Pelodiscus sinensis: one gene and its partner. The protein of the gene in region 2 purifies or fractionates together with the protein of the main gene of each other region. This does not show direct contact. Links are inferred from orthologs where the notes say so. Each region holds a gene or a part of one and is shown on either strand. Other genes may lie near its edges.

Region 1 (7,193 bases), on a different chromosome or scaffold from region 2:
TCTTTAATAAACATCAGACTTGAGAGGTAGAGAGGCTAGGAAGTGAGAAAAGTTGTTGTCCCACATTCTTACGAAGTGCTCAGAGCATGTCCGTGTCTCCTTAAATAATTTACAATGTTCCAGGATGAAAAAAAAGGCATCAGCCTAAATAAGATGGACTTTGCTGTAGGAATGAGGTGCTGTCTTCCTCCCTTCCCCCAGTCCCTCCCAGGTTTAGTAAAATAAAAACCCTTTAGGACCTCTTCATTTTATAGTTAAATCAGCCTTGCCTAAATCATTTGTATATACGTTGTGTGCTGTATTTGCTCAAATCTATATGAGAAAAATAAATCTAATAATGATCGTCAGCACCCTCCTTAGGTGGTTGTGGAGCCTGGAACAACACCCTCTCCTCCCCCCACAGGGCCAGCCCACTACATTTTGGCAACTGCGGCGGGGAGTTCAAATGATGCCCCCTTTTCTCCTGCCTGCCTGTTGTCTCTTGTGCCCTCCTTCCTCCAGCACATCACTTCACCATCTCTGTGCATCTAGAGTAGAGAGAATACATCTGCACCAGCAGCAGACACAATTTTCTACACTTTGGGTTCTAGTGGCGCCCCCCCCCCCCCCCCCCAGTCTGGCACCTGAGGCAGCCGCCTCAGTTCGCCTCATAGTAAGGCCAGCCCTGCCTCTGCCCCTGCCTCCGTCCCCACTCCAACCCTCGTCCCTGCTCCACTCCTCCCCCACCTCTGCCTGAACCAACACTGCCTCCTCCCAAGCAACATGGCCTGGGGAATTACTGGGGGGCCATTACCCCCCTTGTACTCCTGTGGTGGTGGGAAGCAGAATAACCTGGCCCTAGCCTGCTCTACTCCCTGGCTACGTCTTCACTAGCACCCTTTTCCGGAAATGCTTAAAACGGAACAGTTTTCCGTTTTAAGTATTTCCGGAAAAAGCGTGTCTACATTGGCAGGATGCTTTTCTGGAAAAGCACTTTTTCCGGAAAAGCGTCCGTGGCCAATCTAGACGCGCTTTTCCACAAAAAAGCCCCGATCGTCATTTTTGCGATCGAGGCTTTTTTGCGGAAAACACTACTGTGCTGTCTAGACTGGCCCTTTTCTGGAACAGTTTTCCGGAAAAGGACTTTTGCCCGAACAGGAGCAGCATAGTTTTTCCAGAAAAGCACTGATGATTTTACAGTAGATCGTCAGTGCTTTTCTGGAAATTCAAGGGGCCAGTGTAGACAGCTGGCAAGTTATTCCGGAAAAGCGACTGATTTTCCGGAATAAGTGGCCAGTGCAGACACAGCCCCCGAGCCCAGCTTCAAGCCCTGTTGCTCAGGAGACTGGAGGAGGTTAGGACTCTGGCACCTACTTCCGCCTAGGAGATGGCGAAGCAGAGCGTGCTGAGGCTGGACTGCTTCGCTTCCTGTGGCTCCCACGCTCCCTGGTGAGTACGGGGCTGGGCCCGACCCTGCTACTGTCCCAGAACCCCTGGGTAATCACCGAGGCTGCCCTGACATCATAGGGTTCCCCAAAATGCAGGGCTCGGGGCCACCCCAACCATTCTATGGATGAGATAGCTCTGATGATCTTGAATTTACATCATATCTTGTATCCAGATTGATCCCAGATAACATTATATGCTGTACTTGTAAACCACCCTGGGTGCTGTGTGTCATTAAAAATTGTATTTATAAAAATCAAACTTCCATACTATTTGTTACAGGAAAGGAATAATTAGAACTGTTGATTAATCATAGATAACTCACACAATTAACTCAAAATTAATCACAATTAAAAATTAATTGTGCTTAATCACACTGTTAAACAACAGACTACCACATGAAATGTATTAAATATTTTGGATGCTTTTTTAAATTTTCAGATATATTGATTTGTATTATGACACAGAATACAAAGCGTGCAGTGCTCACTTTATATGGTTACATTTGATTACTATCATTGGCACTCTAAAAATGATAATAGTATTTTTCAATTCACCTCATACAAGCACTGTAGTGCAATCTCTTTATCATGAAAGTGTAATTTAAAAATGTAGATTGTTTTGTTGCATAACTGCACTCAAAAACAAAACAATGTAAAACTTTAGAGCCTACAGATTCATTTAGGTTGAACAAGAGGTAGAACTAACGCAAAGAAAAGCAAGTTTTTTTACATCTATGGGAGATACTGCTACCAGCTTCTTATTTCAGAGGACCTCCTTCCATGCTTATGATGGATTCTGCTTGATAACAAGGTTTCATATTATTTTATTTTTGAATGCTGTTACTTTTTGTACATAATTCTATCTTGGTAAGTTAAACCCCCACGATAAAGAGATTGCACTACGGTACTTGTATCAGTTGAATGAAAAATACTATTTATTTTGTTTTTTTACAGTGCAAATATTTTAATAAAGTGAACACTTTGTATTCACTTTGTATTCTATGTTGTAATTGAGAGCAGTATATTTGCAAATGAAGATAACATCCACAAGTATTTAAATAAATGGTAAACTTAAAAAACAACCAATAGTTTAGCAGCACCTTAAAGACTAACAAAACATGTAGATGATATCATGAGTTTTCGTTGGTACAACCCACTTCTGCTGTTGTACCCACAAAAGCTCATACCATCTACATGTTTTGTTAGTCTTTAAGGTGCTGGTAGGCTGATTGGTTTTTTTAAAGTTTTTCCAGTTACAGACTAACTCAGCTACCCCTCTGAAGCTAAATAAATGGTTTTCTATTATTAACAACATAATTAATCACAATTACATTTTTAACCAATTGACAATCTTAGGAAAAACAATATATACATTTATGTTAATTTCATTGTTTTTAATCTCATAACTCTTTTGCACAACATATTAGTGATTTGCAATCGCATCAACCCCCACAGGTAGATATTTCGTTAATCCCATTTTATGGCAAAATTGAAGTACTCCTAGGCACCAACCCAAAAAATGCTTATATGTAGAAGTTGCTACATATATGTGAGTAGCTCCATTGACTTTAATGGGGCTTCTCATGTGAGTTGGGTTTAGTGTGTGTGAAACCGCTTGTTCAAGTACAGGCAGAAAAGCTATGACAAAAGCACTCTGGACTCCCAGTCCTTTGCCTGTCTCATTGCCTTCTCCCTGCTTGTGGCTGTAGCTTTTCCATTTCTCTCAAAGGGCCATGTGGAGACAGGTCAATTTCACTTTTGTTGCTAGTCACTTTCATAGCCCATTCCTCCCAAGCTTGTTTAAAACAAACTATGGGGACCAACTGAGAAGCTTCCCAGAACCATCTCCCTGCCCCCAACTATCATAAGTGCTAGACTTTCCAAAGCTACATGTGGGGGGCCCTGTTGGCCAAGAGCCTCCAGCAGCACTGCTGGGACTGGAGGAGCCCGTTTTAAAACCTATTTCAGAGGCTAGAGTGCTGCAAACTCTTAGGGCAAGGAGCTATCCTGCTTCCACCTCCCCAGAAATCACTGGGGCAGCAGCTCCCAGTGTCCCTTTTCAATTGGTGCTGGAACTAAGGGCGTTGGTGCACCTCCCAGGGCCTGAAGTGGTTTTCATCCCATCCAGGGTTTACACTTTGCTTCACTAGCTCTCAGCCCCCTACCCCACTGCGCAAACTCCTCGCCCCTCGCTTTGCCCCTGCCGCCTGGAGAATGGGGCTAAGGCAAGTCCACGGGAAAGGGGACAGTGCCAGCCCCTGCTCTGTGGGAGAAGGGGACAGAAAGCGAGGGAGGGAGAGGGGAGAAAGGGGGGATAGAGGGGGCGGGGGCCAGAAAGGGGGGAGGGAGAGGGGGCGGGGACAGAAAGGGGGGAGGGAGAGGGGATAAAGGGGGTGGGGACAAAGCGGGGGAGGGGAAAAGTGGGGATAGAGGGAGCAGGGACAGAAAGGGGGAGAGAGAGGGGGAAAAGGGCGGATGGGGGGCAGGGACAGAAAGGGGAAGGGAGAGGGGGGAAAAGGGGAATGGGGGGGCGGGGACAGAAATCGGCCGGGAAGGGAGGATAGCGGGGAGGGGGTAGAGGGGGCGATAGGGGGCGGGGACCAGCCCCAGCTGTTGACAGCTGCGGGGCAGAACAGGGGCTGAGAGCTAAGCAAAGAGCGAGCGCAGCTGTGACACGGTGCTGTATCACGTGACTTCCAGTCCAGCGGGGAGGGCTCGCGGGAAAAGCCCTGCAAGAGAAGCGGCCCTCCCCGCAGACTTCCGCCCTTCAACATGGCCGACAGGAAGTGAGGCTTTCAGGAAAGCGAAGCCAATCACCTAGTTGCGACGGCAGCGGCTTCCGCCCCGGAAGAGCAAGGGCGTGTCCGGACGGAAACGCGGCCGGCGGGGGAGGCGTTCCGCGCGGCGGGAGAACGCGCCGAGAGCCGTCTCGCGCCTGAGCTCCGGGCAGCCACCGCCGAGATGCAGACGCGACGAAGAGCCGCGGCCGGGGCCAAGGAGCCGGAGCCCAGGCGGCGGGGCGCCGAGGCCTCGGAACGTGAGTGACTGAGGAGCCGTTGCTGATCCCGCGACGCGCCCTCTGCTTGAGGGCGCAGGGGAGGGGGGACCCCGACGAGGGGTGGCCGAGCCCCCCTTGGGGGAGCTGCCGCGCTCTGCCCCCCGCTGCGGGGCGGGGCCATCGCCGGGGGGGTTTCCTTGCCCCGCGCCCGGCTTCTCCTGGCCGTTAAACGGTTCCCTTGAGACCGTTGCCAGCTGAGGCGGGCGGGGGGGCCGAGGGGGCGCCCGGGCTCTACCATGTGACCGGCCCATCTGACCAGCAGGCACCTCGGGTTTAGGCAAATTAGCCTCTGAGGGGCCGGGGCCGGGCGGCTCTGGAAAGCGGCCTGACAGCGGCTTTGTTTTGCGCCCCGCTTCGTTCCCTTCCGCTCCCTGCTGCGTCCGCGCGGGCAGCGGGTGGCGCCTGTTCACCTCAACTGGAAACAGCCCCCCGGGCTCCGGCAGCTCTGTGCAGACTCCCCGAGCGTGGGGAGGGGTCGCGAGCGTTCGTGGGCGCAGCCCGGGTTGCTATTCCACGTGTTACTGTTGAGCAGGCAGGGAAGAGATGTGGCCCGAGCTCAGTCAGCCCGGGCGTCGTGCTGAGCATTTTCCCACTCGATTGTCTATAAAAATCGTTAAGGAATCTACATGGAGCCGGTTAAGTTGTGCATTGTGCCACGTTCGTCTTCAGTGGGCCCCAACGCGGAGCCCGTGGGCGCCATGGCGCCCGCCGGGCCATTTATGTGCACTTGCGGAGCAATCTGGGCTGGCCCCGCCCTGGGCGTGCGGCAGGTGTCAGCCCCGGGCGCATGGGTGACCCCTGCCCGGGGTCGCAGCACATGCCAGTACTGGCCCCAGGCACACAGCACCTGGGCAGCCCCTGCCCGGGGTCACGGCACATGCTGGTGCCGGCCTGGAGCGTGCGGCGCATGCTTGGCCCCGCCCCCAGGCACGTGGCCTGTGAGCAACCCCGCCCCCGTAAGCGCAGCACGTAAGCGGCCCTGCCCCCAGGCGCCCGGCAGCCCCAAAATGTTGGGAACCCCTAGTCTTAGTTGTCTTGCCCCAACATAATTTTGTGTCTAAAGTCAGTTACAAATAGACCAGTGAATTGTATTTATCAAATAGCTGATACGCATTAGCTTCCATACAGTACTTACTCATTTAACATGTGCCCACTTTACACGTTTTTGCAATAGCACGATTTTTTTTAGGGAATGTTTTTCAAATAACACAACCGTCCTCGAAATAACAGGATAATAATCAAGTGGCAGACTACTTCACGCTGCGGTATAAGTTGGTGAAAACAGTGATAATACGCAGGGCTCGACAATTAGTGTAATCTACTTGCCTGTGGCAAGTAGATTACAAGCCCGCGCAGTACGCCGCTCAGCACAGCTGGTGAGGGGGGTTCACCGCCGCTTGGCGAGCCCTGGTAATATGCATGAACGGATGAATACACGTGGTCACAGCGCTTCTCTGCTCACTCATGTGTCTGTCTATCTTTGTGTTTTAACAAACCACAGTGACTTGTGTTGCTAGATATCTAATGTTGACGACCCAGCACTAACAAAAAATTGACTTTGCCACCACTGCCTGAAATGCAACCTCCACCTTTTACATTATTTTTAATGGGAAAATTTACCCCGCATAGCACGTTTTCTCTTAGCCTGAACATTTTCAGAAACACATCTATAGTGTTAAATGAGGGATTACTATACAGCTTTAATGTATTTTTAAAATGAATCCCCTAAAAATGGGAATGACACAGATGAAGTTGCTTGTATGCTGTCGGTTGAATTTCACTCTTGCTTTATTCACTATGCACCAAAGACCAAATCTTGCTCTAGTAGTATTTCATAGTAAATTGGAAGCATGGCATTTAGCTTTACTCTATAGCTGTGGTAACGGGTATGCAGGCCTGCCTTACTTCCACAGAAATGTGAAGTGCTGTATAACTTCCTGCTTCTACAGAGTTCTTGAGTGGTGCAGGAGAAGGGGCTACTCTGTACTTGCTCTCCTGCAAAGCTCTTCACGTTGACAGAGAGGCATTTCACACCTCTTTGAAGCGTTGTTTCACTCTCTTTGCTGAGTTTGCCAAGCTTCATTGGGTCTCTTTTCAGCTAGCTCACAATTTCAGTGTTCTCTGTGCAACCATAATGGGTGGAGACTTTTTTGTAGGGTTTTTTTTTGTTTGTTTAGTTTAGTTTCTGGCGCACAAGGTCTCAGAGGGGTAGCCTTGTTAGTCTGTAACTTTAAAAAAGCCCCGAATAGTCCTGTGGCACCTTAGAGACTAACACAAATATATAGATAGATAGTATCATAAGCTTTCATGGGCAAAACCCAGTTCTGATTACAGCAACCAAGGCAGAATACCAGGTCACCAATCTAGGGTGACCTGGCTTGAACTTACCATTGCTATTTAGAAGGGGTATATCTTCTACTTTTATTTTTACTTCCATTCCTCTTCCTTTCTGGTATCTATTTCTTCTCCTATCCTTACACTTTTAAATTAAACAAAAAAGCTTCAGTTGAATTATAAAGCTTGTGCATTTGAATATTTGATAATTCGTTCATGTGGTTGTAGGAGTGATTTTACTAGTGCTTTTATAAACTGAATAACAAATGAATTTCCTGACACTTGTTTTTATTGATATGTGCACACTATTTTACTGGCTTGTTTCTAAAATGCTTTTTTTTTTCTATGTATGTTTTGAAGCATCTGTATACAGA
Region 2 (7,785 bases):
CTCTCTTTTGTTTGGTGCCATATTAATTAATATTCATTTCAATGTGTCCAGGACATATAAGCTAAATATGTGAAGCCTCTCTCTAGCAATTCTATGCTATTTCAAACACTGTAGAATGCATCACTGCAAACTCTCCCTCTAAAGCAAACTTTGCAGCACAAATAATACTGGAACAAATTATTAATCAATTTTTAAGCATCTTCAGGATAACTGTGTTATAAGAAATAGCCAGCATGGATTTTTTTCAGGAACAGATCATGCCAAAACAACCTAATTTCCTTCCTTAATTGGTCTAATGAATACCGGGTGAAGAAGTATCTGTGATGCATATGGCCCTACCAGATTCCTGATGGTGAAAAACATCACAGACTGTGAAATCTGATCTCATCCATGAAACCAGACTAGTGCAGGGAAGTTGCAGTATTGCCATCCTTACTTCTGCGCTGTCTTTAGAGCTGGGCAGCTAGAGAGTAGTGGTTGCTGGCCAGCATTGAGCTCTGAAGACAGTGGTGCCACCAGCACCAGTACAGAAGTGAATGTGGCATGCTCTGAGGAGGGGCGTCACTTCTGAAGGTGATGATAGAACTGGCCTTGTGGGTGGGCAACATGGTCATCCTCCTCCCCTCTACCACATACAGCCAGCTCTAGGGCCCTTTGACCCCTGAGTGTTGGGAAGGAGCAGAATTGGGGTGCTCTGGTTCCAGCAGCTAGCCTTGGATGGGCTGTAAGGAATGAGACTTCCTCTTCCCCTGCATGGGCCATTCCTGGGGCTGGATCAGACCCACCTCCATCAGTACCACAGAAGCAAGGGATGCAATACTGTACCATGCCATGCTTACTCCTGCATTGCTGCTGTCAGTGGTGTTGCCTTCAGAACTGGGCACCCATCCAGCAGCTGCCATTTCCAGCCACCACTCTCTGAAGGCAGCACTGCTGCCAGCAACAGTTCAGAGGTAAAGGTGGGAATACTGTGGCCCTCCTACAATAGCCTGCCTACACATGCACATACTTTGTGTCAGGACCCCTAAAGTTATAACATTGTGAAATTTCCGATTTAAAATGTCTGATAACATGAAATATAAGAATTTTAAAATGCTATGATTTGGTAGGGTCCATGGGCTATAGTTAGACTTCAGTAATACTTTTGACACAATCCCACCTGAAATTCTCATAAGTAAACAAGTAAAATGTGGTCTAGATGAAATTACACTAAAGTTACTGCACAACTAGTTGAAAGATTGTTATAAAAAAGTAGTCAAATTGGGAGGGCATTTCTAGCAGTGTCTTGAAGGGGTTGGACCTAGATTCAGAACAATTCATTATTTTCATTAATGTCTTGGATAATGGAGTGGATTGCATGCTTATAATATCTACATATGACACCAAACTGTGAGGGATTACAAGCTTTTGGAAGGGCACAATTAAAAACCAAAATGACCATGACAAATTGGAGAATCCAGAGGAGGTCAACAAAAAATGATAAAAGGTTTAGAATACCTGGCCTATGAGAAAAGGTTAAAAAACAATGGGCATGGTAAGTCTTGAAAAAATAAGATTGAAGGGGGGAACCTGATAACAGTCTTCAAATATGTTCATGGCTGTTATATGCTCATGCTCAATTGTTCTCCATGTCTCCTGAAGCCAGAACAAGAAATAACAGGATTCATTAGCAGCAAGGGAGATTTAGGTTAGATATTTCTAACTGCAAGGGTAGTTAAACTCTGGATTAAGTTTTCAAGGGCAGTTATGGAATCTCTATCACTGAAAGTTTTTAAAATCAGGTTGGTCAAACACCAGTCAGGGATGATTTTGACTGACTTGGTCCTGTCACAGAACAAGATCTTGACTTGGTGACATTGAGGTTCCTCTAGCACTACAGTCTATGATTTAGGTCTCGTAATTAGCTGTGTTATTAACAAGGAGTGCCTAAACTCTAATCCTAGCTATTATAATTAACAATATAATATAATTGTCTTGATAATGATGCTATACCAGTTTATACAGGGCCTGTATCACACTCCAAGACATTTTTTTTTAAAATGCCAAAATAATATGTAGAGGGGTTTGAATCCTAAAATGCGTAAGACAGGTTGGTGGAAAGCTTCAGAATTCACTCAAGACCCATAAAACACCATGCAGATGAGCCCTTATGGTTTAACATGTCCTGAGGATAATGTTCTTACTTAACTCCAGCTATAAACTGGTTTATGATACACAGCACAAGGGTTTTAATTACTAACAGGGCTGCATCTCTATTGCTATTCTACATTCTAGCAGAACTGCTTCTTTTTACCATGTGTATGCGTGTCTCGTCCCTACTGAGGCTAAGAGTTTCATAGGAACGAAATGACATTTCGTGCCAGTCAGTTCCACATACTGTGCGGTCAACTCATTATTATATCACAAACCTCATGATATTTTTTTTGATCTGAGGAAGTGGGTCTGGCCCACGAAAGCTCATCAGCTAATAAACCATCTTGTGAGTCTTTGAAGTGCTGCATAGTCCTGCATTTTGCTCATGATATTTGGTGTCTTTCTTAACACCGCACCTGCTAGAATGAGGCGACTCAACGTCGTTGTCACAAGAGACGCCCCTCGCTGCCATGCTCGAGAAGGGTAAAAGCACGAAGACGGGACACGCGCGAACCCTCAAGGCCAAGCCGGGCGGCGGAGTCCAGGTTGCGTAACCCCGCGAGGCTAGCGGGCGCTCTGCAGGGCGTCGCCTGTCCCCACCGCCCCAGGCCTCCCCCGCCGCCACTAGCCCGCAGCCCCCACCGGCCCGGCCCCACCTGCCCAGAGCCCTTCCCCTCACCCAGGCGCCCGGACCCCCTCAGGGCCGGCCCCTCCCCCTGCCGCGCACCTTCTTGCCTGCAGTAGGACATGGTGAGGGATGGGCTGGTCTCTCCGCAGCTCCGGCCCGCGGCGACTGACCTGACTGACCCCGCCAGCGACCCGTCCGTACCCGCCAGCCCCTGAAGCAGCAGCAGCAGCCGGCGCGCGCCACACTGCGACCTCTCACCCTGCACCCGGAAGGACCCCGGGAGGAGGGGGCTGCCCCCTGCCGCGCCTGATTGAGAGCCGGATGGCTGGGAAGCGGGGTCCCTCTACCGGTCGCCGCCCAGCGCGAGGAGCCGCAGAGAGCGGGAGCTTTAGGGGTCACCTTTCTGCCTATCCCAGCGTGCTTTGCGTTTTGCCGCGCTTCCTTCGGAAACAGTCCTTCGTCGCGTCCTGAAGAGAGCGAGCGGCTGTCAGAGCTCGGATTCGCTAGGGCAGCGGCGCGGACTACATTTCCCAGCATGCCCCACAGCGGGCAAGCTGGGAAACTACATTTCCCGGCATGCTCCCACAGAGACAAAACCAGAAACTACATTTCCCAGCATGCCTCGCCCTGGGGAGTTGCTGCTCTGGGCCAGGGTGTTCAGTGCAACAGCGTGGCCTTTGGGCGGCAACTTTCTAGCGGCTACGCTCGGGGTTTGTACCTGCTGCCTTAGCCTGGCTGCGGCTGAACATGTCCGGGCATGTAAGTGTGAGAGCCCCGCACCCAGCCTGCTACCGTCCTGCAGCGCTGCGACCCCGCTCCCGGATCGCCCCTGCCCGCTGCTTGCTTCTCCCTCCCGGGCAGGGCGCTCCTCGCCTGCTCCCTCTCCCGTGTTGGCTCTCACCCGGGTAGATGCCTCTTGAGGCTCCGGGAAGCCCGTGTGGCTCTTAAGGGGCAGTTGCATGTAGGGTATAAACATTGTCTGGAGCCAATGCCCAGATTGGAACAGAAAGGGGTGGGAGATGGTCACTCCCTTCTTATTTTCTAAAAAAAACCCAGCTCTGTAAATCTTGTTTAGCTCCCCAAGGCAATTCCAAGACTGTTCCTTGTTATTCCCCGCCGCCAAAATAAGCACCTACTGCGTTTTCCACTTCAATAGTATCTCGCTTTCAGTCGCAAGACAGCACTACGGTAATGTTTGTTTATATCAATGGTTCTTAAGCTGGAGTGCACGCACCCACTGGGGGTGCGAGACGCCTTTTCTGGGGGTGCGAGACATGCCAGATTTGTATGATGAATCTTAGGTTTAAAACTGACCTACTTCAACGATTTTTAATAGGGGGTGCAAGAACATTTTGAGAAGCAAAGGGGTGCAGGCTGCAGTAAGGTTAAGAACCACTGGTTTATATCCAATCAGCCAAAGCCATTTATTGCCCAGGATGCTTCATAAGGGAGACATAGCACTTTATTTTTTGAAAAATGTTGTCAATTATTTCATAGGACTATAAAATATCACAGTAAAGTGCTCCATTTTTATATGGTAGGGGTACCAGAAATATAATTTAGCCTGCCAAAGACCAAATATAGGATATTGACACAAAATGAGAAACCTAGCAAAGCATATCTCTGGAAAGTTTAAAAAATATGCTGGACTATTACAGTGTAAATTATCTCATCCAGTAAACCTCAGTTCATTTACAGTTGGGTTTTTTGTATAAATAATTATAAGCAATAAAAGTGAGATGAGACATGTTTAACTGGGAGAGAGATCAGGTTTGCTTCAATTCAGGAGACGTAACTTTTTAACAGTGGGCCCTGATGAGTGGCAGAGCAATTTCTGCCTGAGCTACGAAGTTATTTCATGTTTGCTTTTTTCTTTACCAGTTCTCTGACATAAGTGGCAAGAAAGAACATGTTAAAATCACAAGTGAGCCCAAGCCAGGGTTTCTGGAGCGACTCAGTGAAACTTCTGGAGGGATGCTAATTGGGCTCTCAGCATTTTGTCTCTCTTTTTACCTTCTTTTTACCAATGAGGTAAGTGAAACACTATTAACCTTTGAATTTCTATTAACCTTTGAATTTCTTTTCAAGTGTATGTTCGCCTTTATGCCCAAAGTTCAGTGCTCTTCAAGATAAAAGTCTTCTTCCTAAATATTTGTATCATCATGTTGCTGAACCTATTCCAGGTTTCATCTAGAACTGAGTGGAGAGTACTGATAGGATATATCTGAATAAGATGAGATCCATTGGCAGTGGAGTGGATTGATTGGGAAGTGGTGAGAAAAATGGGTTAACAGCAGTTGAAAAATGTGATTAGAAGTTTAGGATTAAACAAAGACTGAATGGCTAGCCAGCTACAAAAGCAGTTTCTCCTCCCTTGGTGATCACACCTCCACATCAGCTGCAAAAAGGGGGCCTCATCCTCCCTGACTGAATTGACCTCTTTATCTCTAACCTTACTCTTGATTGGAACTTTTGTCTTTTGCCTGTATATTTATACCTGCCTCTGGAATTTCCACTACATGCATCTGATGAAGTGGGTCTTTGCCATGAAAGCTTATGCTCCAATCAATCTGTTGGTCTATAAGGTGCCACAGGACTTCTCGTTGTTTTTGCAGATTCAGACTAACACGTCTACCCCTCTGGTGATTGGAAGTGTTTGTATGGACTTGCATGCGTCTTATGTGCTAGTGCACCTCATTTGTGTCTGTAAATTCTGCTTCTTGCTGCACAGCAGAGACAGTTGTAATAAGGATGGAGCTGAAACACAGAATGAATCACTATTGAATATGGGAATCATAGGTTGTCTGGCTGACTTGTTTCACTGGTCTCAGAAAACAGCTTATCAATGAGCAGAGGTTTTTACACTGTCATTGCATCCTCATTCTCTTGGTATATTGCAAGGCAGATAAATTATCTTAAAGTTATTTAATGCATTAGGTCAAACTGTCTCTTTTAGTTCATTCCTAGGATGATCTTGGGTCCTGATCCTGCAAACATGTATGTTCTCAACGTTACTACTTTGAAGAGTCCCATTAAAATCTACAGAACTACTTGTAATAGTAAAGTTAAGTGCATGCATAAGAGTTTGTGGGATTGAGGCTGTAATCTGTTATCCTGGTGGTATTTCTAGTTAAAGCTGGTTGGAACATTTGGGGTGGGAGCAGAATTTTGTGAAATTTAATTTCAGATTTTCATCAGTTTTCTGACCATTGCTATTTAGATGAAAGAAGGAAACGGTTCACAGGTTTAGGAGATTGTTTCTTGTCCTACAATCTGAAGATAAGGGGGAAAATTGTTAGACTAAATCAGAACAGTCAGACAGTGGAACAAGTTCACAATGGTGCCACCTCAGTGCAGTTACTCAAAAACAACAGGTAAGATACAAAGTGTGAAGGAATAATTTCAGGGGCTTAGCCTGCAACTTCGATGTGCCTGTAACGTCCATTAAAGTCAGCGTGATTATTACATGTATTGCACTCTCATGCTGGTATGAATCAGGAGCAGTTCTACCTACTTAGGGATGTTAAGTGTTTATTTTTGTAAACGTGTAACTGACATTTACAGCAGTTACATGTTTACATGGGAGTGGGGTAGGTGGGAGCTGGTGCTCATAGGAAGCTGGCTTTTAAGCTGGTTTCCCTGGAAACACCATTTCTCACCTGCCCCTCTTCCCCCCCCCCCCTATATCAGAGGCAAAAGTGCAGGAAGGCAGTCAGCTCCATGGGAACTGGTACTTACCTCCCCCTCACCTCATGCTGTTGCCTCTGGGAGGCAGCAATGCAGGGGAGGAGGCAGCTCCCTGGAAGCTGGTACACAAGGGGAGTTGTCTTAAAAGCTGGCTCCCTTGCCCCTTTCCCTCCACCTCTGATATGGAGGCAGTAGTGGTGGGGGGAGAGGGAGGGCTGTGTATGTAACTGTTAGGATTAATTGTGTAAACACATACATGTTCACATCTCTAGTTCTATTTGCTTCAGTAGAACTACCTATGCGAGTGGTGTGGTTTTTTTTAAGCGTGCCACCTGTTTTTGCTAGCCTGATTACTCCCACGAGTAAGAGATTGTGGGATAATCCCTGTGCACATGAGTAGATCCATTAAGGTCAGTGTTCTTAATTTCACAAATAAGTACTACTCTCTAAAGTATCGGACATAAAATTGTGACAGATGGGAAGTGCAGATGTGTTCTTAGGTTTTGCCTATTGCATATAACCTACTAGCACTTCATGGAAGCTGTGCCCCATCTGGTATTAAACTAACAAAGTGGCACTGTTGGTACCTCCACATGTGTGGGTTTTTTTTTTTTTAATTTTGTTTTGTCTCTTTTTTAATTGACTACAGGGACGAGCCTTGAAGACAGCCACTTCCCTCGATGAGGGGCTTTCTCTTGTAGTCTCTCTTGACAATATTTTCAGCATGTCTCAACAGAATGAGGGAAAACTAGTGCACTTGTCAGGTGCCCTTAAAACATCAAAGGTAATTAAACAATAGTTGGTTTGAAAATAATGCGTGAACTAAAAGGAGGGAAAACTCTTCACTGGCAAATTGAAACTGTACACGCTTGATATAAAATATTATTGTGGGCTGTAAATCTCCCATCCAAAAATGTTCCTCCCCTTTCTTATGGTGTATGTTTGGAATCCAGCTGTGCATTTGTGAAGACACCAAGTGCTGAAGCTGTACATCTTCTGCGTGTTCGAGAGATAGTGATGCTCTTCATAGTTAATTTTTTTTGCAAGAGAGCGTGTGATGCAATAGTGGCCAGAAGTGTGAGCCAATTACTTAACTTTCTCAGATTCTTCAGTTTGAGTTCACCTGTAAGCAGATAGAGTGGTGTATACCCTGTCTTTTAAGGTTTATACATCCTATCCATCACTGAGATGTCTCTGTGACTTCATGGAATTTCACACTTTTGACCATGCTAAATATATCTCATTAACAAAATGGAGATAGGTTTTTGTCACATGTGATTTTGGAAAGCTTAACGTGCATGAAATTCTTCAAGATCCTCAGATGAAAAGTTATGCAG

Evidence for each region.
Region 1: the proteins of CHCHD4 (region 2) and torsin-1A-interacting protein 1 purify together in Homo sapiens (co-immunoprecipitation; 3 studies listed by BioGRID and IntAct, with this or other methods). This does not show direct contact. The link is inferred for Pelodiscus sinensis from reciprocal best matches to the Homo sapiens genes CHCHD4 and TOR1AIP1.

The regions. Positions count from the first base shown.
Region 1 is NC_134719.1:59,452,177-59,459,369, reverse strand, and holds the start of torsin-1A-interacting protein 1, read left to right. Parts: upstream 1-4,178; 5' UTR 4,179-4,388; coding exon 4,389-4,464; intron 4,465-7,179; coding exon 7,180-7,193. UniProt on the Homo sapiens protein: Required for nuclear membrane integrity. Induces TOR1A and TOR1B ATPase activity and is required for their location on the nuclear membrane. Binds to A- and B-type lamins. Possible role in membrane attachment and assembly of the nuclear lamina.
Region 2 is NC_134721.1:22,075,558-22,083,342, reverse strand, and holds the start of CHCHD4 (mitochondrial intermembrane space import and assembly protein 40), read right to left. Parts: upstream 3,021-7,785; 5' UTR 2,883-3,020; coding exon 2,861-2,882; intron 1-2,860. Other genes in the region: TMEM43 (transmembrane protein 43), read left to right, coding at 3,509-3,520, 4,643-4,792, 7,098-7,232.